Mytilus edulis: one gene and its partners. The protein of the gene in region 4 purifies or fractionates together with the protein of the main gene of each other region. This does not show direct contact. Links are inferred from orthologs where the notes say so. Each region holds a gene or a part of one and is shown on either strand. Other genes may lie near its edges. The genes, in order: cAMP-dependent protein kinase catalytic subunit 1, ubiquitin carboxyl-terminal hydrolase 8-like, beta-arrestin-1-like and protein smoothened-like.

The links.
Region 1: the proteins of protein smoothened-like (region 4) and cAMP-dependent protein kinase catalytic subunit 1 purify together in Drosophila melanogaster (affinity purification with western blotting; 4 studies listed by BioGRID). This does not show direct contact. The link is inferred for Mytilus edulis from reciprocal best matches to the Drosophila melanogaster genes smo and Pka-C1.
Region 2: the proteins of protein smoothened-like (region 4) and ubiquitin carboxyl-terminal hydrolase 8-like purify together in Drosophila melanogaster (affinity purification with western blotting, with the first as the bait; 4 studies listed by BioGRID). This does not show direct contact. The link is inferred for Mytilus edulis from reciprocal best matches to the Drosophila melanogaster genes smo and Usp8.
Region 3: the proteins of protein smoothened-like (region 4) and beta-arrestin-1-like purify together in Drosophila melanogaster (affinity purification with western blotting, with the first as the bait; 4 studies listed by BioGRID). This does not show direct contact. The link is inferred for Mytilus edulis from reciprocal best matches to the Drosophila melanogaster genes smo and krz.

Annotation. Positions count from the first base shown.
Region 1 is NC_092344.1:92,210,970-92,218,330, forward strand, and holds the start of cAMP-dependent protein kinase catalytic subunit 1, read right to left. Parts: upstream 3,018-7,361; 5' UTR 2,348-3,017; coding exon 2,110-2,347; intron 1-2,109. UniProt on the Drosophila melanogaster protein: Serine/threonine-protein kinase involved in memory formation. Promotes long-term memory by phosphorylating meng and by regulating CrebB protein stability and activity.
Region 2 is NC_092354.1:81,313,060-81,320,607, reverse strand, and holds the start of ubiquitin carboxyl-terminal hydrolase 8-like, read left to right. Parts: upstream 1-4,545; 5' UTR 4,546-4,681; intron 4,682-7,548. Other genes in the region: LDLR chaperone boca-like, read right to left, coding at 245-401, 4,189-4,377.
Region 3 is NC_092346.1:87,676,412-87,683,789, forward strand, and holds the start of beta-arrestin-1-like, read right to left. Parts: upstream 3,021-7,378; 5' UTR 3,006-3,020; coding exon 2,947-3,005; intron 1-2,946. Other genes in the region: serine-rich adhesin for platelets-like, read left to right, coding at 3,501-3,518, 3,700-5,034.
Region 4 is NC_092355.1:3,468,914-3,476,417, reverse strand, and holds the start of protein smoothened-like, read right to left. Parts: upstream 3,015-7,504; 5' UTR 2,970-3,014; intron 1-2,969. Other genes in the region: tRNA-splicing endonuclease subunit Sen2-like, read left to right, coding at 4,471-4,656, 7,147-7,268. UniProt on the Drosophila melanogaster protein: Segment polarity protein required for correct patterning of every segment. G protein-coupled receptor which associates with the patched protein (ptc) to transduce the hedgehog (hh) signal through the activation of an inhibitory G-protein.

The DNA of each region.
Region 1 (7,361 bases), on a different chromosome or scaffold from region 4:
AAAATATCGAATAAACAGTTGACTTTTCACAAGCACTTTCTTAAAAACTGACCTTGAGACGAACACGTTACACTGATCGATGAACCCCAGAAATTAGATCAAAGCCAAACGAGTCATATTGCCTAATCAAGGCTTCTAAAGACCAAATATGAGTGGATATAAAAGAGAAGATGTGGTATAATTGCCAATGAGACAACACTTTACAAGAGACCAAAATGACACAGAAATAAACAACTATAGGTCAGCGTGCGGCCTTCTACAACGAGCAAAGAGCCTGTTTCTTATAAACTGGTACGTAAACCTAAACACAAACTCTTTCCTTTTTTTTAAATGAACCATGAAAATTAGGTCAAGGCCAGTTATATAAGATCGACCGTATACTTAAGATTTCAGTTATAGTAACTGAGAAACTGACCTCAGTACAAACAGCTAACTTGATCAAAGAACACTTAATATATGATCAAGGTCAAGTTTCAGACAGACTACTGACACTGATTCCATAAATTTAGCTGACTTATTACTCAACAGAACTGGGAAGTCCACTTAATAATGAATATGGATCAATGGTCCATGAAGTAGAGGTCAGATGTCCCCTCAAAAATGTTATTGGACCTTTAGAGCGCAACGTGTGTGTTCCTGAACCTTCACAGTGTAGCGCCACGTGTGTATGTGTGTATGTAACTGGACCTTAAGAGCGCCACGTGTATATTTTACTGGACATTTAAAACCCCACGGATGTGGTACTGTAACTTTGGAGTGTGTGCGTATACATATGTTACTAAGTCTGTAGAGCTTAACGTATGTGTGTTACTGGAACTTTATAGCGCCACATGTACGAGTTACTGGACCTTTGGAGCGCAACGTACGAATCAGTGTTACTGTACCTTTTGATCGCCATTTTTGTGCTACTGGACACTTGGAGTGACACGTGCGTGTTACTGAACTTTTTGAGTGCCATGTGTGTGCATTAATTACTGGATATTTGGAGCGCCTCGTGTATTCGTTAATTGACCATTGGAGCGCCAAGTGCGAGTCAATGAACATTTGAAGCGCCACGTGTGTGTATTACTGGGGCTTTAAAGCGCCACGTGTATGTGTTACCATGGTTACTGGGCCCTTTGAAACAACTATTTGACAGTCATGAAGGTTAGCTGTGGCCAATGGTGGCAATACTTTTGTACTTTCCATTCCACTTTCTTGAATAGTAGCAGTCCAAATGTATCGTTATTCATTTCTATGGACCTTTTCTGAAGAACCTAACTTTTATACTAGGTTATTAATAATTTGTTCTTGTCCTAAAAATTAAAAAAAATTGTTTGCTATCGGACATAGGCAAATAATTTCCAATATGTTGAGGAAAAAAACGTATTTTAGAGGAGATGTTCTTTCAAAATGAGTACTTTGTTTTTCAGTTTTCTGTTTCTGTGTAACCAAAACTTAATGGCAAAACCTATTTATTTCACCTGTGGACAAGGTGAGCTAAAATTAGAATTTAACAATGAAATCTATCCTAATGAGTCGCAATGATGGGACCACAGAAGGATGACAAATGAATGGATATATATTATGTACACCGCCGTAGGGCAGTATTACAAATGACAGCATTATCTGAAGATGCTAAGCATAATAATGAGTTAGTGACTATATTTCGACCATGCAGGTAGCTTTACATCAGAATATATTTTGAGGATTACAACCATGTGATAATTAATCTTATCATTAAAAGTAGAAAATGTTTTGACCTTTTTGAAGATAAATTTTATTTATATATTTTAAGAAATTTCCTTCAACCCCGAAACCCCTCATTCGTATGAATACTGATCTATATGATTGTATATCATTACAACATGTACAATACGTTTGTAGAATAAATTCTGAATTAAATATACATATTTTCAATGTTGACAAAGTTTTTCAACTGTTTTTACTGCATAACGAAAAGAGCTCTGTGTTTATCTTTTTCACGTGTATCTTGATGATATCTAACAACCAGATGTGTGCAGTTTGAAAGTACAAACTGATTATAATATGTGTAGTAAAGAGAAAAAGAAGCGCATGAACTAACCTAATTTTAAGCTGTATTTATGTAGTATAGAGTTTTGAACTTACTGTCCCACAAGTAGAGTCGATGAAGTTCTCTTTTCAAACGTTCATCACGAATTCTATTGGTTTCACGCTGATCATACTTTCTTAAACTAAAAGTTCTGTAACCCCTGTCTCTCCTGAGAGGGGGTAGTTCTCCTCCACTCCCAGTTCTATTCCGAATTTGTTCCTGATTTTGTTGTTGTTGTTGAAGCTGTGCTTTTCTTTTCTTTTCAGAGTCAAACAAGTCAAAGAAGAAATCCATTTTTATTCAAAATATCAGATTACCGTAGAATTTGTCACACACTGAAACTCCTTAAAATATCCTTAAAGTCTCATTGTTGTGTACACACGAAATCTGATCCATGCGAGTGCATTTCAATCCATTCATACAAAGTACATTTAAATATTTTTAGCCTATTTTCCCATTATTTGTTTCCAAATTTAGTGTACACATGGTAGAATTCACACATAATGTTTTAACCGCACTATATATAATGATAAATTACTGCGTACTACAGAAATAAATGTATATTTCCAGTGTGATTGACAGCTAACAAGTCAAATTATTCACCCTTCCATTCCAAGACGTTTGTCCTGCCTGCCTTAAGATGGTCTTTTAGTAATAAGATGCGAACCACGATGTGTAATTTAAGTTTAAGATATTTTGTTTACCATTCAAAGTGGCCTAATTTTCAAAAGTTTACGCATGAGTGTCGCCGGGATTTGAAAAACTACGCATGGCGTGTTTTGGGACAGTTGTTTCATTCACCGTATTTCTGATTTAGTCATTATTTCTAATTTTAGACGAGAAAATCACTTGTAAAGTTTGTGTGTAGACGAATATATCATCATTTTATCGTTACCTATGAACAACATATGTCGAAATTTAATATTTAAGTTTTTTTTTCTCAGGTAAATGACAAATTGATAACAAAGCACATAAGAGGCACATGTAAAGGTATCATACTATACTTGTCTACTGCAAAGCACAAAGGATTTATTCGAAATGAATTTAATATCTACGCGTGTCCTTCATTTTCAATAAAACTAAATCTGTGTTTATATTATATAACAAACCATATACATAAAATAAATGAAATAATATAATATTTTATTGTTATAAGATTTATTACAATAGTTATATAAAACACATGTTGTGTTAGGCTCTGATCCTGTCCATAACGTTATAGTATGGTATTAGTTTTCTGTTTCGTTTTTTTCAATAATATTGTGTTGCAAAATGATGCCCTTTATGGGTTCTTGATTAGATTAATAAAATTTTTATCTTATCTTAGACTTTCTATCTTCTTCATATTACAATTCTTAACCCCGTCAGATATAGATTTTGTTTTGCAATATTCATGTATCAAGTGTATTTTGAGTTTTAGTTGTTTAAAAAAAAAATAGGCCTAAGTTTTCATGAGGCTAAGCAACTCCTGTACTGAATAGTTGAAAGCTGCCTGTCCGAGGCTTTGTTTTGAAACAGAAAGTCAGCGACACACAAAAAAACATGGTAAAGTTCAAGATATCACCTTCAACATTATCATGACAACAGACAAGTGTCTTCATATGGCTTGCTGTTTATCACATTTTGGAAAAGTTCTGATAAAACTTTATAGAGGATACCCAGATATGCCATCAGCAACAATAAAAAAATGGAGAATGTGTCCATGGGACACAGATGAGTGAATCTCCCGCTTGCATATACGAACGTAATAAAAGGACATAACTCACGAACGGTAAAAGTGACACCACCCTAGTTTGAACTTGATCTGAGTTTTGTGGTAATATTTCCTAACATTTGATTGAGACTTACTAAAGTACGTTCTGATAAAACTTTATAGAGGATACCCAGATATGCCCTCAGCAACAATAAAAAAATGGAGAATGTGTCCATGGAACACAGATGAGTGAATCTCCCGCTTTCATATACGAACGTAATAAAAGAACATAACTCACGAACGGTAAAAGTGACACCACCCTAGTTTGAACTTGATCTGAGTTGAGACTTACTAAAGTTAAAGAACGAAACTTTATTTTGGTACATACGTACTCGATCGTGTACGGACGGACGCACACTGAGACGGACAAGAATAACACTTAGTAACCCCTCCACTGCAGCATAACAAAAAGGACAATACATTAAAAGTTAGTAAATTAAAGACAACTTCTTATGAGGCACACGAGATATGAAGTTGTTATTTCAAATTATCCAAAGTATCAAACTAAATGATTAATCCACAAAGTAGTTTCTCTATAAATCCAATAGGTTTGCCTGGATAATAATGAATTTTATAACATTTAATGGTAAAAAACGATGGAATGTACCAATCCGTCGAGTCTAGTCCCTTTTCGACTTATTTTTACAATGTGTTCTATTATGTACAGTACTGGTACACCACTGTCCTGGAGGTTATGGGAGGGCTGAGAATTCACAAACATGATTAACCCCGCGACATTCCGACTTGTTCGTGTGTGGCTATATACAATTTCACGGGATACTGTAATCCAGTGGTTGTCGTTGGTTGCTGGTTGCCTTATTTTTTGTATGTTTCTGTGTTGTTTTTTATCATTAATCAAGTCGTTGGTTTTCTCTGTTTTTTCATATTTTTATCAACTCGTGGTCTTTGGCCTTATACATGACTAACTGGAGGAAATTGTAAAAAAAAAACCAAGACACGGAGGTAATGCACCAATTTATTCGTAGGAAGAATCAAACGATAAAGGTGATTTTTCCTTCCAGTAGAAGAGAAAAAATCAAAATGTTGAAATATTTAGGTACCTAAGGTCCACTCTTGAAAACTATATATCGCCTGTAGACCCCATGCCGAGTTCCGGGCTCATTATATAATTACGAATGCATATTTTGATTTACCAAATATATCGAAAATATTTGAAAATAATTTGTGATTTGATGAAAGCGCTCTAATGTGAAAATCTGTTTGTGCGATACAGAGAAGGTACATAAATGCTTAAAACATATTTCCACTCCTAACCGTTGTTTCCGTGGGTCCGTTATGTAAAACCCTGGACTAGCATTTGGATTACCCTATATATATAGGTTCATCCAAATGCTAGTTATATATATATATAAATAGATACGTATCATGTACTGTAGTACGACGCTAGATTAAAACTGACGTGGAAAGGTAACACCCGGCCACCGAAAGCTTCATTTTTATGAAGCCCAAGTGGTCGTGTGGTCTAGCGGGACGGCTACAGTGCAGGCGATTTGGTGTCACGATATCTCAGTAGCATGGGTTTGAGTCCCGGCGAGGGAAGAACAAATAATTTGCGAAAACAAATTTACAGATCTAACATTGTTGGGTTGATGTTTAGACGAGTTGTATATATAAATAGATATACATCTGCAGCTCTATATAAAGAGGATGAACGTGCCGATTTTGAACATCACATTTAGATATCAATTGACTCAATGAACAAGTTCAATTTGTGAAAACACTTATTATTGGAACAAATACATTTATGTGAACCAGGGATAGAAAGTCCCTGTGTGAACGCATTGTATACTTACATTTACATACTCAGGCAACTTTACACACGTGTTTATGTGCACGTGTAAATTTTTACTGTGTGAACGGCCGGGGCGTTACATTGTTGGGCTTAATTTCAGAAGTAAAAACATGTATATAATTGATTTCTGATGGTTCTAGTCCTGTGTAGCTATTAATACCACAATAGGTTCAGTAGCAGTATGATACCGTAAAGTTGCAGACCTAACATTGTTGGTCTCAATTTTTAGTGGTGGTTATCCAATAGAGAATACCTGTCGAAAAGTTGTCCCGTATTGAGACGTATACAATATAAATATTCAAGGTAGTGATTCCACGCAACATCCATCTGTATTGGTTGATCTGCCAAGTAGTCATTATACACAATTAAGCATCCATAAATCAAGTGTAGTTGGGTGGATCCAGCCAATTCTAAAAGAGGTGTCCAACCAAGGATAAAATAGGGGGGGGGAGGTGGTGACGTTTTGTGCAATAATCATAAATAGTTTTTGAGATACGGTGCAACATGTGAAAACCCCCCTTTTTTTTACAAAAAAACTCAATAACTCTAAAATAAAAAATTGAAAAATCACAAAAAATATACAGATCTTTAGATCAATATAACTAAGAAGTGTGTAAAGTTTTGTGCAATAATCATAACTCGTTTTTTGAGATACAGCGCGACATGTCACCCCCCTTTTTTTTTTACAAAAAACTCAATAAAATCTAAAACAAAATTGGAATCATCACCAAAAAGTATACAGATCTTTAGATTAATATAACTAAGAAGTGTGTAAAGTTTTAAGCAACAATCATAAATCGTTTTTTAGATACGGCGCGACATGACGTGTAACCCCCACCCCGTTTCAGTTATATAGTCTCGTAAATCAAAAAGTTTAAATCTTATTTTCCACCAAAAAGTATACAGATCGTTTGACCATCATAAGAAACAACTATTTCAAGTTTCATGAAATTTGGATAAGTAGTTCTCAAGTTACGGTGCGACATGTGGACGCCGGACAGACAGACGAACAGACGGGCAGACAGACGGACGGACGCCGGACATTTGTATACCATACTACGTCTCGTCAAAATTTTTATAAAAACAACATGTTTATATCTTATATGGCGCATGCAGTTAACTGAGCAATGCAGGTAGTTGAAAACAGTGCTTGCAGATGATTGGTTCCTGTTGAAGGAAGAACTTTTGTTGGGTTAGGTCTCAGACGAAATATTTTTACGTCAATTCAATTTATTCATACTACAATGTTAAATTCTTTTTCATACTTGAACTTTGTACACATATTTACCATTAAAAGTGCACACAAGGTCGGCGTTGTTAAGCAGTATAGATATTTGTAAGTACTACCACTGATATCGGAGTATAAAATGGCAGGATTTCCTTATCAACAAATAAAGTGCGAATAGCTGCTTTGTCATTTTATACTGTGCAATAATACTGATACCTATCAGTAAAAGAACTTTATGAAAGGATTGTCATTGTGAATTTTTGTTTCTTCTTCTTCATATATAACTTTTGATATTCTAGTGACCGTATATATAAATAGTGGATGTTGAATACTCGTAAAAAGTATATGTCACAACGCGTGTCCCTTGCTGAAAATCGTATGGGTTGTGTTCGGCTGCTTTCAGATCATGGCGACCATCAACAAGCTGATTTTACTTATTTGCAGTTTTCGGTTGCAATGTCCTTTGCGTAAGCCACGGTGACCATGATTTTATCTCTATCGACATTTCTTATGA
Region 2 (7,548 bases), on a different chromosome or scaffold from region 4:
CATAAATCTAAAACAAACTGACAACTCCATGGCTAAAAATGAAAAAGACAAACAGAAAAACAATAGTACACACGACACAACATAGAAAACTAAAGAATAAACAACACGAACCCCACCATTGGCCATAAAATAAGATGTGGTATAATTTTCAATGAGACAACTCTCCACCAGAATTTGTCTTTCCCATTTCTCAGTAATAACAGAGTATTAATTTTTTATATATATTTTGGGTTGTCTCTCTAACCTGACACTGTAGCAAACATCATTAAGGTTTTCCCTTTCTTTGACATTTTAATCATTTCTTCTGGTTTACTTGGGTCTAACTTTGACATATCTATTTTGGGTGGTTCTCGTTTCCATTCAGGAAGTTCATCTTCTTCTAACTCGTCCTCATCATTGTCCTGAAAGGTAACCATGGTAACCATTAAAATTAAAATGAACTAAGTATGTGAAGACGTTAAAAATAATCTTAATATGTTTAAGGCCACACTTTCACCTGTAACATGTATAATGGTTTACTTATTCAAATTGTGACTTGGCTGGAGAGTTGTCTCATTGGCACTCATACATTTGTACAACATGTTCAGATATACCACATAAAAAAAAAGATATTTCTACATGTTCTAATTTATCCTCACCTGCATAATGATGATCAAGAAGACACTAAATTAACTTTAGTAGTGCAGGAATACAGCCGATCTCCTTTATCTGGTAAATGATGTCATAAAGGCGCTAAGTGACAAACTTTTCTAATGAAGCCAAAGGACATTACTCAAAAGTGGTCTATTGAATTATAATAGTATTTTGCTAATAACTTTCTATATCAATGAAGAACTTTTTCTGCTCACAAAGAATAAAATAAACTGGCATTTTCAATTTTTAAAGGTGTGAAGTTCTTTTTACTATCTGTCTCACAAATTCAAATATCTACATTCTTAATCAAAAAGACCATAAAGAGCATATAAATCAACACAAACAACACATGCAATCTAACTGATTGCTGAAAACTAAATATGATTTAAAACAAATATGGAAACATGGTCATGACAGTAGAAAAAAAAATCCAAAAAAAATCCAAAATTTCCCAAAATTTTCATTGTACTAATGAACTCAAAATCGTTAACTTTTTTTTGTCACTTTTTTTAATTCCTGTATTTACGCAGAAATTGAAATTCTTCCTTTTTCCGGTCTCATTTTCATGAGACTTCGAGTAAAGTATATATCTATTAGTCTAGTAAAATGTAGGATTGGAAGGAACCGACCCACATCTTCCAATCATATACCTACATGACCTAATCAATACCAATTTCATTTTTAATATGAATAAAACTTTACCTGATGATATCGTTTCTTTGTTTACATTGAGTATGACGTCATAACTTAAATAATGTCACAACTAAAATCCCTAACAGCACAACCACAATCGGAATGGTATTTCCGTTTCTTTTTTTTAACAGATTTTGAAGTTTAAAAATGTTTGAATTGGGAGAAAAAAAAATAATACAGACTTCGTCCCCTCTCACAGGTAATGCCTGCCTCTTATTTAAAAATGTATGTACATGATAGTAGAGAGCCAGTACAAAGAGGAATAACTATTTATCAATTGTATCTACTTTTAGTCTCTTTTTTTCTTATCTGATCTGGAAATTTTTATTCTCAGATCTGCAGTGACATCACAACATGTAACTGACCAATCAATGATTAGCATTTTTGTTATGTAAACAATGTTGATAGGTGATGCGGATAAGATTCCTCTAGATTTTCCATAGACTTATTGCAAATTAATTTAATTGATATATATCATAACCAGTTGAATATAGTAATTTTACTCTTTTAATACTGTTAAAGGCACTATATACTACCTCCATTTTGATTTTTAACATACTATAACCTCTGGTTAAAAAATAATCGGCAATATAAATAATCAGTTATCCCCTTCAAATAGATGAAAAATCTAGAGGATTCCGGATTTCATCACCTCCAGACAAATGTAAATGCCAGGATGTCCGGATCTGAGAATTTAGGTATATAAATCTGTATTAAAAACTAAATCTTCATTTGTCATTATCCAGATAAAGAGATTTTCTAAATTTATGATTCTCAGATTTAGAAACTTTTGAAATAAAAAAAAACTCTGTCTAATTAAGAAATAATTCATGGAAGCCATAGATTATTGGAAATTTACACATGGCCTGGGCCGTGATATTCGAATTTTATCCTGAGCGTTAGCGAGATTTTTCATCTATTTGAAGGGGATAACTGATTATTTATATTGCCGATTATTTTTTAACCAGAGGTTATAGTATGTTAAAAATCAACGTATCAGAAAACTTTCAACTGTAGCGTTTTCATTTGTATGACGTCATGTTTTGAAATGACTTAAATGCGCCAAAAACATTTAGGAAAAATTAATTCTTTTAGTAATAATGTCCCAATTAAAAGAAAATTTGAAATTTGGAAAGAGGAGAAAAATCCAGAAAAATATATATCACCACTAGGAAAAATGTACCAACAAACTGAAGATATGAAAGATACAGAATTGGTTGATATAGACAAGATAGAACCGCAGTATGAATACCAAGGTCTAGTATCAGTCATTAGAGCCCCTGACTACTGGCGTAACATAGGCAGCTCAAAATCCAGAACAACAGCCCAAATAGAGGAAGGAAAACAAATCATCTCGGAACAACTCCAATCTCAAACACCAAACACAGCAGTTGCTTTTACAGATGGGTCATGTTTAGGAAATCCAGGCCCCTGCGGTGCAGGAGCTATAATTTACATTAATGATAAAGAAGAAAAATTAAAAAGACCTGTCTCTAACAAAGGATCAATCTTGCTAGCTGAACTTATAGCAATAAAAATGGTTCTGGATTACATAGAATCTTTTTCAAAAGAGCAAATTAATACTTTAACTTTATTTTCGGACAGTCAGACAGCATTAGGTATCTTAACTCTCAATTGGAAAAGTGACAGCTATCATCAAACCATTAACGAAATCAAAGGGAAAATAAAAAATTTAAACGAACATGGATTTTTAATAAACTTAAACTGGACACCAGGACATGCCAACATAAAAGGAAATGACGAGGCAGACTCCTTGGCAAAAGAAGCTGCTAAAGAAGCAGAAACACTAGCCGTTGATGATATAGTGTTTACAAAACAAGATGTAAAAAAAGCAGCCAGAAATTCTGTTACAAAAAAATGGCAACGCAGATGGGAAAATAGTGATACTGGACGTCACTATTTCAGATTTCATCCTGAAGTTAAAGATAAAGTTAAAAAAGACTTCCCGTCAAAAAAAATGTACAACATAATCAACAGTTTACGAACAGGTTATTCTAAATTAAATGCATACCAATTTATAATAAACCAGCACATCGACACGAAAACCTGTCATCACTGCAAACAAAAAGAAAATGTACAACACTACCTTTTTGAATGTGACCTGTATTCAGATGCCAGAGACAAATTATTTCATCAAATATACTTCATAACAGGACAAATTCCAACAGATCTAGACAATTTATTAACAATCAATTTGCCAAATGCAGAAAATATCAATCAACTATTAGCGGAGTACATAGAGGAAACAAACCGTTTTAGTGGATAATTTGATACAAATTTCTTTAAATTTTTTATATTTTTAATTTTTCATGCCATTTCAATAACCTAATAAACCATTTTTTAAATTTATTTCACTTCATACAATAATTCTATAATATTTTTAAAGCGCCACCTACAATATATAAGTTCAAAGGAGAAACTACAATTGTGATAATTATTTTACAAGAGAGGATAATTTACAAGAGAGATTACTCTGTCATCACGACAAAGATTGAAGATTGAAGACATTAATAGACTTTCGCGGAATTTTATTTTATTTTTATTTTGTTGGTTTCTCCGAGTTCTTGTGCATTGCTTCTTTTTATTATGCATCCGAATAAGAATAAAAGTGATTTTGTCTTTTTTTAATTGCAATTTTTAAAACAATAAAATCGGCAAAGGGTTTTCAAATAGGTTTCAATACATGTGGATTTACGTGGGAAGTATATTGTAACAGCCATTTTTATGTACACCACGGAGTCTGCGCTAAGTATAGATATATCGAGAATTTTATCACAGTGTTGTTTACAAAGCGAAAGAAGCACATCATATTAGAATGGGAAGTAAATTATAACACGTCACCTCCCACTGATCAAACAGTCGTTCTAAATCAGCTTCACTGTAATCACGAATGTTTTTCTTCTTCCATTTCTCGTCTTTACCATTTTTTGTTTCTTTTTCGTCTGCTTTATTACAAATTGAAAGCAGAATTAAATTGAAAACTATGAAAATAATAATGTAAAACTGAAAGTTTCCTCCTTTCTCCACCATATTGAAATGATTATTACAAAATACAAATTTAAAAAAACGAATAAAATTGAAAGGAAAGATTTTATTTATGTTTTGTTCCAAATAGATAACATCTCATAAAAATATTATTTTAGTCTTTGAAAATTGATATCACTATCATGAATGTATAAAGCATATATATTTTTGTTTAGTTTCGTTTTGTCTAAGAATTTGTACATTGCATTATGGGATATGTTGTGACTGGAAGTGAAATATTCCTGAAAATGGTCTAGGAATACCTTAATTCTAAAGAACTCTTATATAACATCTAGTTGCTTGTTTTGTGGTAAATGTTTTTCCATAAGATTTCTTTCTAGATTTTTAAAATGTTTACTACTGACACTTTTCTCCAAATGTATTGGTGGTTGTGCCTGTTTGGTTGTACATTTGTAATTAACTCATGCAACTCTCACTTTCAGTCTTATGTACTTGTCTATATCCTGGAGAAGAAAGATACAGACTTATTAAGGAGTACAATAATAGAAGACCAGTACCATTCAAATGGATCAGCACATGTTCCAATAAGAGCGAAAACTAATATCTCGATAGCGTCTGATAAGATCAAAGGAAAAAAGTCAAAACAAAAACCATACTCAAATGGGAAGAAACCAATATAGGGTCTTATCAAGAAGCTATAGAAACACTACAGGAACATGGTAACACCACTGACTCTAAAGTAGACATAGAAGAACAGGCATTTACCATCATCAATATTCTATCCAACGCCAGCAATACAAATGTCAAGAAAAAAATAGTCTCTTTAAAAGGACCAAATTGGAAAGCCTCTGAGAAGGTTAAAGAGCTCATATCAAAAAGTAAGAATGCATTTTATAGCTGGAAACAAAATGGAAGACCCAAAGAGCAGGATAATATAGCATACACAGAAATGAAAAAATGCAAAAGAGAAGTAAGAAAACAAGTCCGCCAGGAAGATCATCTGGATAGCCAAAGATTTTACAATAACATGATGAATAATCCTGACTCAAAAACTTTCCACCGATTAATTAGGAAAAACAGGGCACAATCTGACAACTCAACAACACTAATAATAAAGGATACAAATGGAGATGATATTGTAGAACAAGAAAAGCAAACTGAAATCTTTGCAGAATTCTACGAAACTTTAGCAACTCCAGCTACAGAAGAACATTTCGACTCAGAATATATGGAAGAATGTGAATTTAGATACAATCTAATCAACTCAATTGTACATCAATCTGCCATCAATAGAAATGACATTACCAAATTTACTGAAGAAGAGATAAAAAAAGCCATCAATGAACTGAATACAGGGAAAACAGAGGATGGCTACTCCTTAACAGCAGAGCACTTTAAATATGCCGGTAATACAATATTACCAGATATTGCTAATCTCTTTAACAATATCATGCTGACAGGGACAATACCCGAGATATTTAAAACTGGCATCCTTACTCCTGTTCATAAAAAGAAAAAAGATCCAACCTTAACAACAAACTACAGAGGAATTACAGTCACCTCTGTCTTGGGGAAAATTTTTGAATATGCATTATTAGAAAAAATGCCTGACTTGAATGCTAATCAGACGGAACTCCAATTTGGCTTTACAACAGGTCTCTCACCAATCATGGCAGCTCTTGTTGTTTCTGAAGGCATACTTCATGCAAAACAACAAAACAAAAACCTATTTCTAGCAACCCTTGACAGTCAAAAGGCCTTTGATGTAGTACATCATATGATCCTGCTAGAAAAATTATACTATGAAGTTCCAGCAGATGTTTGGAAAGTAATTCAAAATCTGTACTCAAATATGTCAACGGAAGTAAAATGGAATAATCACTTCAGTAAAAAATTTCCAATAAAACAGGGAGTCAGACAGGGAGGTGTATTATCCACTCATTTTTACAAATCTTATATCAATGAATTACCAAAAGAACTAGAAAAAAGAGCCTTAGGACTATCAATAGGACTAGAATACTGTGGCAGCCCATTATGTGCAGATGATATTGTGCTGATGTCAACAGATGAAACAGAGATTCAAGCAATGCTTGATATAGCATATAAATATTCATGTGAACACAGGTACAATATCCATCCTCAAAAAAGCACTCTGATAAAGACAGAAAGAACGAAGTCAAAATATCAACCAGAAATAATCAGATTAGGAAATGAAGCAATACAAACTGATAACTAAGCAACACATTTAGGAATCATAAGAGCATCTAAAAACGAATCAAGAATAAATATACAAGAACATATAAGTATTGCAAGAAAGACTCTGTATTCTCTAATTCCAGTGGGACTAAATGGTAAACGAGGTCTTAACCCCAAAACATCTTACAAGATCTACCAAGCTTACGTACTTCCAAGACTGCTATACGGACTTGAAATACTGCCTCTGAATTTGACACAAATAGGAGAATTAAGGCAATTCCACATCAAAACTATCAGATGTTTCCAATCCCTTCCAATAAGAACTTCAACAGCTGCTGTATATATGCTTATTGGCGCAATACCAATTGAAGCTGAACTTCACAAGAGGCAACTTAGCCTGCTATATTCTATCCTAGCAAGTGAAAACACCAAACTAAGGAATCTAATGGAAAGACAACTGATTGTTAACTCAGAAAATCCAGATAGTTTCTTTCCAAGGGTCCAAGAAATCCTACAGTACTACAGCTTAACTCCAATTCACGAGCTAAAAGAAAAACTTCCAACAAAATTTCAATGGAAAAAACAAATTAATATAGCCATAGCCGATAAATGGACAAGTAAGCTACAAACCGATATGAAGGAAAAATCCACTTTGAAATTCTGCAATACAACAGATCTCAAAATTCACCAGACTCACCCAGTATGGAACTCTCTACCATCAGTAACATATGAGGTAAAAAAGGCACAAATCAAAGCCAGATTACTGACTGGTACATATCTTTTAGAATGTGACATACAGAAATTCAAAAGGGAACAAGAAAAAGCACACTGTACTCTGTGTCAGCTTGAAACAGAAACATTAGAACACTTCCTACTCAAGTGCCCAGCTCTGCACGAAAAAAGGCAAAACATTTTCCCGGACTTGAAGAAAATCATTATACAGTCTGTTGGAGATAACAAATGGAATGATACTTTCATAGGGAACCAGTCCTTAATAATTCAAATAATTATCGACTGCAC
Region 3 (7,378 bases), on a different chromosome or scaffold from region 4:
AGCATTTATATGTAATATAAGAATATACTATTCAGTTCGCATGGATAACGCTATGATGTTTAGAAAAAATATTTCAATTTCAACGTGCAATTTATCGGTTTGTTCTACGTTACATTTTAGCGTTGACTACCGATAACGACGTCAAATGCGATAAGGGTGGTTTTTGCTTGACGGGCGTCATATATATATGAAGAAAAAAAAAGAAATGATGTTGCCTTAATCACAGGGTTAAAAGAGTCAAATTCAACTTGGTTTTGTTTAAGAAGCTTTCTGAATTTTAACATATCATTTGATATACATCTTAGGGATTCTGGTCGCACTGATTGTCAATAATCATTGACTGAGATTGTATGTGTAGTACCATGAAATTCAAAATCTCGTGCAGTAATACTTGGCAACGAATTAAAATATGAATGGACTTTTTATTTTGTGGTCAAGACAAGTCCATTCCCTTGCGATGAAAGCCTAATACCAAATATGTAAAAAGACAAATATATGCTTCGGTTACATCAACACTGCTTTGTTTATAATTCAAAATTTGAAAAAACAAAAGACTTCCTCTAATCCTTATGTTTTTACACACATGAGTGATTCTGTACTGGAATCATTGTAACTTTTAAGTACAAAATCAATAACTTCAAGTGAAAATCCTTTCTGTATATTTATTGATCAGAAGTCAGAATGAACTTTTGAGTATCATGATTTATATCTGCTGAATATACAATACTGACTCTTGAGAAATCTGGTTATCATGATTTTACCAAGATCTATATGTCAAGGCTGAGTTACATTACCCTTGGTGGTATGGAAGAAGGCCTAATAAGTCAAAGAACAGTCAGAACTATGTCTTGATAACAGGATGAGCTTATGACAGACTGTGGAGGTGCAATAAGACAATGAATTAGTCTGAACTATGTCAAAACACAGGATGAGCTTATAAGGGTCAGAGAGAAGGTGCAATAAGTCAAAGAACAGGCTGAACTATGTCTTTATTACAGGATGGACTTATGATGGTCTGGGAGGAAGTGAAATAAGACTATGAATTAGTCTGAACTATTTCACAATAACAGAATGGACTTGTATGCTACAAAATTTTCAATTCAATCAAACTAGAGGCTCTTGAAAGAGCATGTGTTGCTCACCTTTTTTGTTTGTTTTGTCTATCACTTCTATAAAGAGTGACTGTCTATTAGCTATATTATTAGAAATTGACTTCATTGTAGAACTTGCCTTGTTGATCATTGTAATTTTAAAGTTTACATGTACTGATATAAGGCAAAAAAACCCAAAAAAGTAACAGTTGTCATCAAAGGGCAATAACTCTACAAACTCTAATAAGGAGTTGATCGACGATGAAAACTCACACCATTTCTGCCCTTGTCAGATTTTATCTATTTATAACAGTTTCCAAAATAATTGACAAAACTTGCATTTCACCCCTTTGTTCTATTATATAGCCATGTTGGCCATTTTGATTTGCAAATGGGGTCATTGGACCCATTTTGTAAGCTAGATCCCCATAATGATGATTGTGGCCAAGTTTTGATTTTTGGTCCAATAATTTTAAAGAAGAAGATTTTTGTAAAAGTTAATGGTGTATGGCTGAAAATAAGAGACGATGGACGCCAATAGATGAGAAAAGCTCACTTGGCCTTATGGTCAGGTAAGCTAAAATTCAGAGATCTGTTACGGTGACAGTGTTACCTTCATCAATTAAAACTATAACCCAAGTATACAGAAAAGAATCCTTTAAACACTTGTCTTAAAGAAATATTTTAAGAGTTGCTGGACTACTTCACAGTGCAGGAATAAAATACTTGTAAATTAACTATATTGAATCAAAAGTTCATTTATTTTCAGGGTACTAATTTTTCGTGGATGAAGGAAAACTTCCATGTTCATGTATATCTAATTTTGTGGTTTTGGCAAAGTCTTCATACACGCCATTATAAAATTTGTCATTCGTTGATTATTTAATTTCTTGTTTCACCTAAATCCACAAAATCCACAAAATTTTGTATCCACTGAATAATAATGAATCCACAGGGTCTAAAGGAGTAAAATATCAGAGAAACCTACTAGTGTTTGAAGTCAATCATTAAGCACATGTTATCACACACACTTACATGCTTCTTGATGTGAACTCAAGAGGCAAGAGCTAGGTTGTTTATTTCTAATTAAGGCATTTTAAAAAGCATTGGATGAAGGTCAAAGCGACTATAATTTGCTGAAACTGAAACTGCATCCCTATACACCAAGTAAAAAAGTATAGTTTGATTTTGTTTTGTATGCCCAGGGATCTCCATGGATGAAAATTGAACGATGGAGGAACTTTCACCATTACAAACTGTGTCTACGCTGTACAGTGTAGCGCGATCGGAAGTATTTTATCCCTCCATACAAGGAATGGTGAACATGCTAATTCATTGCTTATTTAAATTATATTTATTTGAATTTTCATTATAGAATTAGAAGCATCAATATTTTCATTTATTGCCGTTTTTAACCATTCAAATGCCAAGTCTTCATGGTCCTCCCTTAGTCGAAAATGACCAAAAGCTGTCATGAAGGTACCCATGTAGATTTCTTGTATTTTTGGTAATTGTTATGGGGGTTAAAAATCATATGATGTGGAGCTTATTTTTCATGGACACTGTCAAATTCAGAACCCATTACCGGTATGGCTGATTTCCAGCTACAACAAAACGATGAAGTTTTGAACGATGGCGGAAGACAATTTAACGATGGCGCAAGTCATTTGACGATGGCGTAAGTCATTTGACAATGGCGCAAGTCATATGACGATGGCGCAAGACATTTGAACGATGGTGGGGCGCCATCATTAAACAGGCCATTGAGATCCCTGATGCCATATATGGTCTAAAACCAATTAGAATATAAATCAGAGAACATTACAACATGATACATGCCTCAATAGTAACCTACCTCATACTTTGTTCCATTATAATTTCAGTATCTATCTCACTTAATGAATTATACACCATTTTGACAAACTGACAATATCTCATACATGTACATAGAAGTACAGATGCTGCATTAATGCAAATGAATATCCAGCATATTTTGACTTGTGACATTCCTATTTCATTAATTTTTCACAACTTATTTGATTTTCATAGTTCATAATTTATCATGAAATCAATGGAAAATGTCAACATAATTTTGTTTGTTGGTTTATTGATTTGTGTTGTCTGCTTATGTAGTGTCCAGTGTCAAATATTTCATGACTTTTCATCCATGTTTGTTGGGACTTAACTTAACAAATTAATGTGTAGGAATTGAATAATAATATGATTTTTTTTATATATACATGTATGTGTTGACTTTATTAGTTACTTATATTAACTATTGTGCAGCCAACCAAACTCTTGTGAATGCAAAAAAAAACGGCTCTCAGAAAAAAGTGATGATGGCACAGACCATGAAACAAATACCAAATTGTTGGGAATGATATAAGACATAGTAGTAATTCTTAAGTGATGATTGTAGTAATCCTGGTGTGTTGACAGCTACTAGTAGTTCTTATAAGTTGACAGCTACTAGTAATCCTTGTGTGTTGATAGCTACTAGTAATCTGTATGAATTGACTGCTACTAGTAATCCTTATGTGTTGACAGCTACTAGTAATCCTGATGTCTTGACAGCTCCTACTAACAAGTATTCCTGATGTGTTGACAGCTCCTACTAACAAGTATTCCTGATGTGTTGACAGCTACTAGTAATCCTGATGTGTTGACAGCTACTAGTAATCATGCTGTGTTGACAGCTACTAGTAATCCTGTAGTGTTGACAGCTACTCGTAATCCGTTTGAATTGATTGCTACTAGTAATCCTGGTGTGTTGACAGCTACTAGTAGTCCTAATAAGTTGACAGCTACTAGTAATCCTGATAAGTTGACAGCTACTAGTAACCCTGATGAGTTGACAGCTACTAGTAATCCTGATGTGTTGACAGCTACTAGTAATCCTGCTGTGTTGACAGGTTCTAGTAATCCCTATGTGTTGACAGCTACCAGTAATCCTGATGTGTTGACAGCTACTAGTAATCCTGTAGTGTTGACAGCTACTCGTAATGCGTTTGAATTGACTGCTACTAGTAATCCTGGTGTGTTGACAGCTACTAGTAGTTCTTATAAGTTGAGAGCTACTAGTAGTTCTTATAAGTTGACAGCTACTAGTAATCCTGATAAGTTGACAGCTTCTAGTAACCCTGATGAGTTGACAGCTACTAGTAATCCTTGTGTGTTGATAGCTACTAGTAATCTGTATGAATTGACTGCTACTAGTAATCCTGGTGTGTTGACAGCTACTAGTAGTCCTAATAAGTTGACAGCTACTAGTCATCCTGATAAGTTGACAGCTACTAGTAACCCTGATGAGTTGACAGCTACTAGTAATCCTGGTGTGTTGATAGCTACTAGTAATCCGTATGAATTGACTGCTACTAGTAATCCTGGTGTATTGCCAGCTACTTGTAATCCTGGTGTATTGACGGCTACTAGTAATTCTGATGAGTTGACAGCTACTAGTAATTCTGGTGTGTTGACAGCTACTAGTAATACTGATGCATTGACAGCTACTAGTAATCCTGATGAGTTGACAGCTACTAGTAATCCTGATGATTTGACAACTACCAGAAATCCTGATGAGTTGACAGCTACTAGAAATTCTAATGAGTTGACAGCTACCAGTAATCCTGATTTGTTGACAGCTACTAGCAATCTGAATGAATTGACTGCTACTAGTAATTCTGATGAGTTGACAGCTACTAGTAATCCTGATGTGTTGACATCTACTAGTAATCCTGATGTGTTGACAGCTGCTAGTAATACTAGTGTGTTGACAGCTACCAGTAATCCTGATATGTTGACAGCTACTCATAACCCTGATGTGTTGACAGCTACTAGTTATCCTGATGAGTTGACAGCTACTAGTAATCCTAATGTGATGACAGCTACTAGTAATCATTATGAGTTGACAGCTACTAATAATTCTTGTGGTGACTTCTACTGAACAAACATGATTTTGTTAATAGCTAATAGTAATCTTTATTAGTTGACAGCTACTAGTTATCCTAATGTGTTGACAGCTACTAGTTATCCTAATGTGTTGACAGCTACTAGTTATCCTAATGTGTTGACAGCTACTAGTTATCCTAATGTGTTGACAGCTACTAGTAATTATTATTTGTCAATTTGTGTACAGCTACATGTACTAGCAATCAATATGTGCTACATGTAACTGCTACTAGTCCATAAGCCTGGGGTAATCAAGTTTATCTTAGGCATTCTACAGAGTAGTATCCATTCAAATTAAAAAAAAACATTACTAACAAAATGAAAAAATGTAATTGTATTTTAAAATTGATTAGACTTAATTAAATATTGAGCAATTTCAAAGTATAAGTATATATTTTCAATAGAGAAAGAGCTATAAATTAAGAAGGTACGTCTATCTCTGTCACTACCTCTCTAATGTCTGTAATTATATAAGGGAAGTGTTTAAAAATTTGTCTGAAGTTTAAATCTAATAACTATCCACACTGTACCATGCTACTATCTACATCATTTGGTCTCTGGTGGATAGATGTCTACTTATTTTTTTTTTATTTCAACACTGGTTATCTTGACTTTCTATTAAAGTACAAACCATCACAGCTTGTATCTGCAAGACTATTATAATTATTGTGTGGAATAATCAAGCTTGAAATGATTGTCAACTTTATTTAATATCTAAGATTTGACTTTGGTTTTCAGTATACAGTAAATTGTATCTTTGTCCAAATAATTCAATAAAGATATGAATTTTTATTTGTAGATCTGGCTATAGACAGTTCTGTTTGTTCAACACTACAAACAAACCTAAAATATAAACCTATGGTTGTGGTGGCTAATATGTTCATCTATATATATATATATGACACAGATATTTAATAATGGTCCATGGGGGGGTCCAACTATATGTTCCCATTTAAATGCATTGATAGTCCAAAAAAAGGACCCCAGAACCATCCCCCTGGATCTGCCACTGTTGTCAGCAAATGCACAATTTGTAACAAGTAATTACACAGCTGTAAACAATTACAAAGAAATGATTTAGTTCATAAAAAAACTATATCATTTTCCCTATTTAACCATTTTTAATTAATTGTTTGATCCAAGTTGGGTTTCCACTTGTCCATTGGTTTCTGATAAGGTTTCTGATAAGTTTATTTACCCTTTCTATAAGGTCAATGGCAGCTCAGTAAGATGACACATGCTACATGATGGTAATGGGATCTAATAGCCAGGCAGTATTATTAGCTTAAGTCTTGTAGTAATGCTTATCCCAATTTGTCTTAGAAATAGCAGTTCTTTGCCATTTAGCACATGTCAAAGATTTAATGTTTTACTTTAATTGAATAATGAATTTTAATCACCTGCGTATATTGTTGATATTTTTAGATTGTTACAATAACTACCTTCCTGACATGCTTTTCATGTAAACACCAATGTGCGAATGTATCCTCAAGGTTTCAACAAAAGGATATAAGTCTAGATCTGTTGTACAGTTAATAGACTACGGTATTTACCCTTTTTCCGAAGAAACAAAATCAAATACGAACATGAAACAATTCATTCTAATATTTTTATTAATATGTATGTACTTTTAAATATAGTTTGGGTTAAATGTGTAACCACTCTCATGAGGTTGTAAGAATTTTTAAAGCATAAGGATGTACAAATGTTCAACAATTTTGTTCCTGATCTTAAATGTACATCTGTTGTTGAGAAGACATCTATAGATTTGTCTGTATCATCAATAATCAGTGAAGTAATAGACAACTTTCACTCTTGATTATACTCACACAACTTGTCATTACCTTTATTAGATAACTCTGATGGTGTTTCCTCAAGTACAGTAAATGGCGGAAAATTGATTCCATTTCCTAGTGAGACACCAAGAGAATTCAAATGTTTCATCGTTTAGCTTCAAAAGATGCACTAATAAATTCTACCAATATACTGTAATACCATTTCTATCATACATTTTGAAATGCATAAAAATCTGTTGTTGTTGTATACAAATGTTGGAGAAAGATATGCATATTTTAAAAATATGTATATGTACTCATGTAACATGAGATCTTCCTTAATTTAGTCTTATTACTGTGCCTAACCGATCACCTTTGGGGTATTATAATACCTACAGTGTTACCTGGATAAAAAATTGTCAACACAATTTGTCCATTTAAACTGTACAATAGGTTTTGTGAGAGATTATCAATAGGTGGTCATTTAACTACCTGAAAAAAAAATTTAGGGCAAAAAACAACCAGGTAAAATCTACAGGTAGTTAAATGACCACCTATTGATAA
Region 4 (7,504 bases):
AAAACGTAAAAAATATTCAAAGAGGCCAAAAAATTGACAAGTCGTTCATCCAAAAACAGGCTTTAATCAACTATCATGTCTATAATGCAAAATATGACAGATTTTATGAATGAAATTCTCTTTAAACTTTGACCTTTAAATATGACACTTAAATAGATATAATTACTTATTGACTAATTGCCAAATACTGGATGCCTCTACGTTATGACCTTTTGAGCACTTAAAAAAAATTGTCATCAGGACATCAATTCAAATTGTTTCAATTGTTATAAAGAATAGAGATATAACCATGATAACTGAGAATTTCAAGTCTTCAAACTGACTAAATTAGAAATGAAAACACACATACATTAATAAGCTGATGCTGCAAATCATTGATACCTGTTCATTGCTGTTCACGACTTCTGTCTTTGACAGTGAAAAAAATATTCAACCAATTTTTAAGTCCTACACAATTACCAAAATAACAAGAAAACAAATTACATGTATGAATCCAAAGGACAGCTTGTGATCATTCTTCACTAACAAGACTAAGGGGAGCCAGACTTACCATTGGAATATTTATTATGAATTAATGAAATGAAACATTGAACTCTTATAAAAAAATTATGACCTAACTTGAGAAAAATTGTTTAACGCATGTTCTTACACCTCAAAACTTACACAAGTAAATTTTTGAGAAAATTAAGGGGAGATAATTCAAACATTATAATTAACTTATATCAGTTTATAAATTATTATTTATTTCTACTTCTTCAAGTAAATACAGATTACTTGTACAAGTAGTACCCCTGACTGACTATTAGTTTCCTACAAAAAAATCTAGATATACACTGAACTCCATAAACTTTGACAAATCTCAATTCTCAGATATATTTTTTTGTAATATAAAATCGAAGATCCTGGAAATTTGGGTTCAAATGTTTTTTAAGAGTTTGGTTTGTAAATTTAGTTTAGAATATCCCTAAGTGAAACCATTTGAAAAAAGAAGTAGGTTATCATGGTTATTGTCCTCACTAATGGAACCCTAACTTATTTTATCACTACTTTTGGATATTTCTAAAAATACAAGAACACAATACATGTAGGTATAGAATTTTTAAATATTCCAATTTTTCTGTAATCATTCACTGATGATTATTACATTGCAAAATTAAGAACAAAATTTCTATTAATTTCTAAAAATAATAATATTATGACATCGTAAGAGGGCAATAATAATATTACGACATCGTAAGAGGGCCACACAGCAAAATTAAAATTATGTCAAATCTAATTATCAACCTTTGGTATATATATTTATTAATCATATTTATTGATTGATGTTTAACACCACTTTAAGTGCTATTACGCTTAGTCCAAATAAATATGATGCCTTGAAATGCTATTTTATTCTTTTGTTTTGATGTCCATACATCTACATTTATACTATTGATCTGCAGTGTAAATCCATACTGCTGTGCTCTGCAGCGGAAATCCATACTGCTGTGCTCTGCAGTGGAAATCCATACTGCTGTGCTCTACAGTGGAAATCCATACTGCTGTGCTCTGCAGTGGAAATCCATACTGCTGTGCTCTGCAGCGAGGATTAATAGCAAAAAAAAAGAAGTTTATAATTAGTCATTAACCAGTCAAGGGTCTAACTTAAATAAGTTATCAGAGAAAAATAACATGCATGTGTTATTACAGACACTTTCATGAGTTGTCTACTCTTTTTTCCTTAATCTGTAATAACATAATTATGTTTGTTATCAGTTAAATATATCATAAATATTTTATCTTTAATGGGCACTTGGGAATTCTTTAAACTTTGCGCAGTAGTTTAATATATTTCCTTGATAACTAATTTTTAATTCCATTAATACAATTTTGATCAACCATGGTAAATCAATGAGACAAGGCTTTTAAGGGAAAACTAAACTGTAATAACAAGGCTTAGTTATTACAAGCATAAAACTTACAACATTGTATATGAGAGTAAATGAGACACTTGGAATCTTGCACAGTGCCTCATTACAAGCTCTATCATCATTTCTTACAATAAATTGAAATACATTGTTATGCAAGACTGTAAAGAGATATAGACATGATAGAGAAGCTGTAATAACACCCTTTGGTTATTGCAGGAATATATTTTCTGTAATAACATAGGTGTACTATGCATGATTTCTAAACTATGAGCTGTTATATCTTTGCAAAGGTTAGTATACTTAAAGAAAATTATAATATCAATAGAGCTGGAGAAAAATTTAACAAAAGAAAGGTTAACGTTGTATATTTCCCCTTTGAAACATGTAACATACATATGTTATCACAGTTTTTTGATATTTTAGCTCACAATAACAACATGTATGTTATTTTTCTCTAATAACTTATTTAAGTTAGACCCTTGACTGTTAATATAACTATATTGTGCTATTTCATGGGGTCAGTTTTTATCCTTGGAGAAAACCAGGGTGCAGAGAGTCATTGTATTATGAACATTCGTAGGTAAAATTACTAACCCTGTTTTAGAGCCAAACTCACAACCTCAATATTGACAGACTAGTGATACAGTAGACTATACATAGAGACTAAGAAGAGTATACCCTTATTTTCTATTTTTTAATTTTTTTAATTGAATAACTTCACATGCATGACATGTGATAACACCCTATTAATATAAAGAAATGTCAGTTTCTTTTGTGTTTTTAAATGTCTCTTTTCAACTGATATTTGCATCAAGCAATACACAATAGTAGTCATAGCTTCTAGATTTTTGAAGTTGTGTGAAAATCAACAAAGACCAAGGTGAGGTCAACCATACATTTTTGGTCAGTTTCTCTACTTTGTACTCGCTTTCAAATCAAACTACCCGCCATTTACTAACATAAGATAATATTGATTGTAATCGATAATCTGTTAAACACTTTGACTATGTAAATAAGTCAATAAAATGTTGATAAGTAGCCAACAACCTGTGTTCTTACCTGACCTAAATTAATCCATTGATCACGTGACAATGCTGACATCCGTTCTCAATATTAACCTCTACATGTGCAATGAGAAATATTGGTTTGATAAACATATGGCTAAAGAAAGCGTTCTAAATCAAAACAAGGAGATTAATTAAGTAATAGAGACAAACTTTTCAATATAATTATGATTTTTGATACATTTAACAAACAAATAGTGTTTAATAATAAAAGGGGGAAGGGCTATGTACATATTAAACAGGTCAGGAATAAACACCAATTGGTGGATTATACCTCAATTGACGTATAATCCACCAATTGAGGTATATTGGTATAGACCAATTGATGTATAATGCAAGTTTTTTTTGTAATTAAATGCTAGTGTGAGATAGGAGCATGATTTTGCAACTTGCAACCTATTTCATAACCCTTATTGAGTCCTCCGAAATTTCAGTTTTGTCAAAGCCTGCTGCATCTCTTGAGAATGCATGTGTACAACAATTCTTTTGTTGAAACATTTGTACTATTGACCATGATTGACTTTTGATAATGAAGGTCAACTATTAACAAAGAGCACCATTCACCTGTGGAGTTGTACACATGATCACATGACTGCAGACAGTAATGATGTCCATTGACAGGTGATTACAGGTAAATTTGCCAATCAGGAATTGACAAGATAACAATAGAAGAAACTTCAAATACAATTATCGATTAGATGCAATATGTTATGTCACTATACTAAACTAGGAATGTTTGACAAGTTTTCATACCATAAAATGGTTTTAAGAAAACAATGCTCCATTTGGGTGGAATAATTTGTTTTGAAAAACAAAGAATTATACACCAATTGGTCTATACCATTATATGTCAATTGGTGGATTATACGTCAATTGAGGTATAATCCACCAATTGGTGGTTATTCCTGACCTGTTAAAAAAAAGAGAAGAAAAGCCAAGTACAGAAAAAAATTAAAAGAAAATCTACAATGTTACATGATGACATGCTCTTCATGAGTTTACCACCTAAACACGTCAGGTGTACTTTATATAGTATCTTTTGTTATTCGGATGTACAAGTAGTTGAAGTACCAATTAGACTATGTTGACTTTGTTTTTGTAATATGTATTTCTATTTGTATCTAAATGGTAAGTTAAGCCTTTTCAACTGATTTTATAGTTTGTTCTTATGTTGTACTGTTACACCACTGTTCTGGGTAAGGAGAAGGTTGGGATCCAGCTAACATGTTTAATAAGGCTGTTAGTTTGAATTGTTTGAATTGTTTTACATTGTCATTTTGGGGCCTTTTATAGCTGACATCCATGGGATATGGGCTTTGCTCATTGTTGAAGGCCATACAGTGACCTATAGTTGTTAATTTCTGTGTCATTTTGGTCTCTTGTGGAGAGTTGTCTCATTGGCAATCATACCACATGATAAAAAGACAAACAATAATTTTCCAAGCATAGTAACTATTGCTTTCTATTCAGGTAAAAAAAAGTTTCTATTTGTTGGTATGGCATTCTCCAAGCTGGTTAATCCAAAAAAGAAGAAAAGAGTACATGCAGCCAAAGAGTCACCATTTCCAGTTCCCATAGCAACAGAACAGTATGAGAACACATGGTTCTACTACACAGGCTATCTCCATGATAACCACATAGAAATCAAACATAGTGGAGATATTGACAGACTGTACAAAATGGTGAGATCCTAAGTAAAAGTTTTACACTTATTGTGTGTTCAAGTTGCATTTATATATTGTGCAAGATTTGTTCCATGAAAGGTCCTTGAAGGACCTTTATATTCAAATAAGGAGATGTGGTATGGTTGCCAATATGACAACTATCCACCTGAGTGTATTTGAAGTAGATATACTTTTATCATAGGTTTAGTAGTAAATACAGTAGTTTTGAATATTTGATAAATAGCTTGCTGTTTAATCCATATCGCGCAACTTTGATTTGCAACCTTTATGGCATACCCTTTATCACACCCCTACCCTTTATCGCATACCCTTTATCACACCTTTACCCTTTATCACACCCCTACTTTTTTTTTTTACATGAAGTCACTTTTTATAATGTAAACTTAAGAAATATTTTTCCCTTGGGCTGATATTGGTGTCTCGGGATGATACAACATATGATACGGATTTTGCCATGTATTATTCTCTATTAATTGGCCACTGTACAGACATCAACAGAGAAAAAAACCCATACCCATTACCCAAATGATGGCTGCTCAAGGGTTTCGATATGAAAAATGTGTATCAATACAAATAAATGAGAAAACTATTTATAAGTACAAAAACAATGTACATATAAAAAAGAAGATGTGGTATGATTGCCAATGAGACAGCTATCCACAAAAGACCAAAATGACACAGACATTAACAACTATAGGTCTCCGTACGGCCTTCAACAATGAGCAAAGCCCATACTGCATAGTCAGTTATAAAAGGCCCCGATAAGACAATGTAAAACAATTCAAACGAGAAAACTAATGGCCTTATTTATGTAAAATTTATATACATGTACATTTACATATAACACTTGTATTAATAATAATTGTTTATGGCATAAAGTTGTTATACAGCATACCTTAAAAATCAGCTTCACTATTTTTTTTTTTTTTCCCCAAGTAATTAAGGTTAACTATTCAAAGGAATTTATAGATGTTCCTTGTTAACTTGACCAACTGACTCACAAACTGTTTTAATACTGTAAACAGTCGGACAACTAAAATAATTTAAATATCTTAAATTTGGCTTTGAAGAACTTTTCATAATCTTCAAAGATTAAAACACTCTCTACCTAATTTGGTTACTAATTGATTTATTGCATAATTAATGTATTTTTATGCCCCACCTACGATCCACCTACGATAGTAGAGGGGCATTATGTTTTCTGGTCTGTGCGTCCGTTCGTCCGTCCGTTCGTTCGTCCGTCTGTTCGTTCGTCCGTCTGTCCCGCTTCAGGTTAAAGTTTTTGGTCAAGGTAGTTTTTGATGAAGTTGAAGTCCAATCAACTTGAAACTTAGTACACATGTTCCTTATGATATGATCTTTCTAATTTTAAAGCCAAATTAAACTTTTGACCCCAATTTCACGGTCCACTGAACATAGAAAATGAAAGTGCATGTTTCAGGTTCAAGTTTTTGGTCAAGGTAGTTATGTTTCAGGTTAAAGTTTTTGGTCAAGGTAGTTTTTGATGAAGTTGAAGTCCAGTCAACTTGAAACTTAGTACACATGTTCCTTATGATATGATCTTTCTAATTTTAAAGCCAAATTAAACTTTTGACCCCAATTTCACGGTCCACTGAACATAGAAAATGAAAGTGCATGTTTCAGGTTCAAGTTTTTGGTCAAGGTAGTTATGTTTCAGGTTAAAGTTTTTGGTCAAGGTAGTTTTTGATGAAGTTGAAGTCCAATCAACTTGAAACTTAGTACACATGTTTCTTATGATATGGTCTTTCTAATTTTAAAGCCAAATTAAACTTTTGACCCCAATTTCACGGTCCATTGAACATAGAAAATGAAAGTGCATGTTTCAGGTTTAAGTTTTTGGTCAAGATAGTTTTTGATGAAGTTGAAGTCCAATCAACTTGAAACTTAGTACACATATTCCTTATGATATGATCTTTCTAATTTTAAAGCCAAATTAAACTTTTGACCCCAATTTCACGGTCAACTGAACATAGAAAATGAAAGTGCATGTTTCAGGTTAAAGTTTTTGGTCAAGGTAGTTTTTGATGAAGTTGGGAGTCCAATCAACTTGAAACTTAGTACACATGTTCCTTATGATATGATCTTTCTAATTTTAAAGCCAAATTAAACTTTTGACCCCAATTTCACGGTCCACTGAACATAGAAAATGAAAGTGCATGTTTCAGGTTAAAGTTTTTGGTCAAGGTAGTTTTTGATGAAGTTGAAGTCCAATCAACTTGAAACTTAGTACACATGTTCCCTATGATATTATCTTTCTAATTTTAATGCCTGATTATATTTTTTTATCCAATTTCATGGTCCATTGAACATGGAAAATGATAGTGCGAGTGGGGCATCCGTGTACTTTGGACACATTCTTGTTTTAAAATGTCTCGTATACATTCTTTTTCAATTGACAATTATCTCCCTTGTATTCTTAAATTTTTCTACAAGTTTTGTTCAAAGGATTTGCATCTTTACTTTTAGGGATTTTTTGGAAAAGGTACTTTATCCAGAAGTAAGCCAGAATTTAATCAGCGCTTCAAAACAGTGGCCATTCCAAACAAAAAAGGGGAGACAATCAGTGCAAGAATTATGAGTAGGAGAAGGTAAGTAAATGTCAATTACTCAGAAATATCAGAGAAGGACCTATTTATTGTAGTAGTTTATAGTTCCAAAGCTGTTGATTTTTGTAATGGATAATTCTGTTATTTTAAAGGAATTAACCTTTGAGTGAATTTTGATGAATTATCTCCCATGAAGACTCTTTTAACAGAGAAAGCTAATTATTTATTAGTCTCCTGCTGATGAAGTCGAAGGGGACTTAAGGTTTGCACTCTGTCAG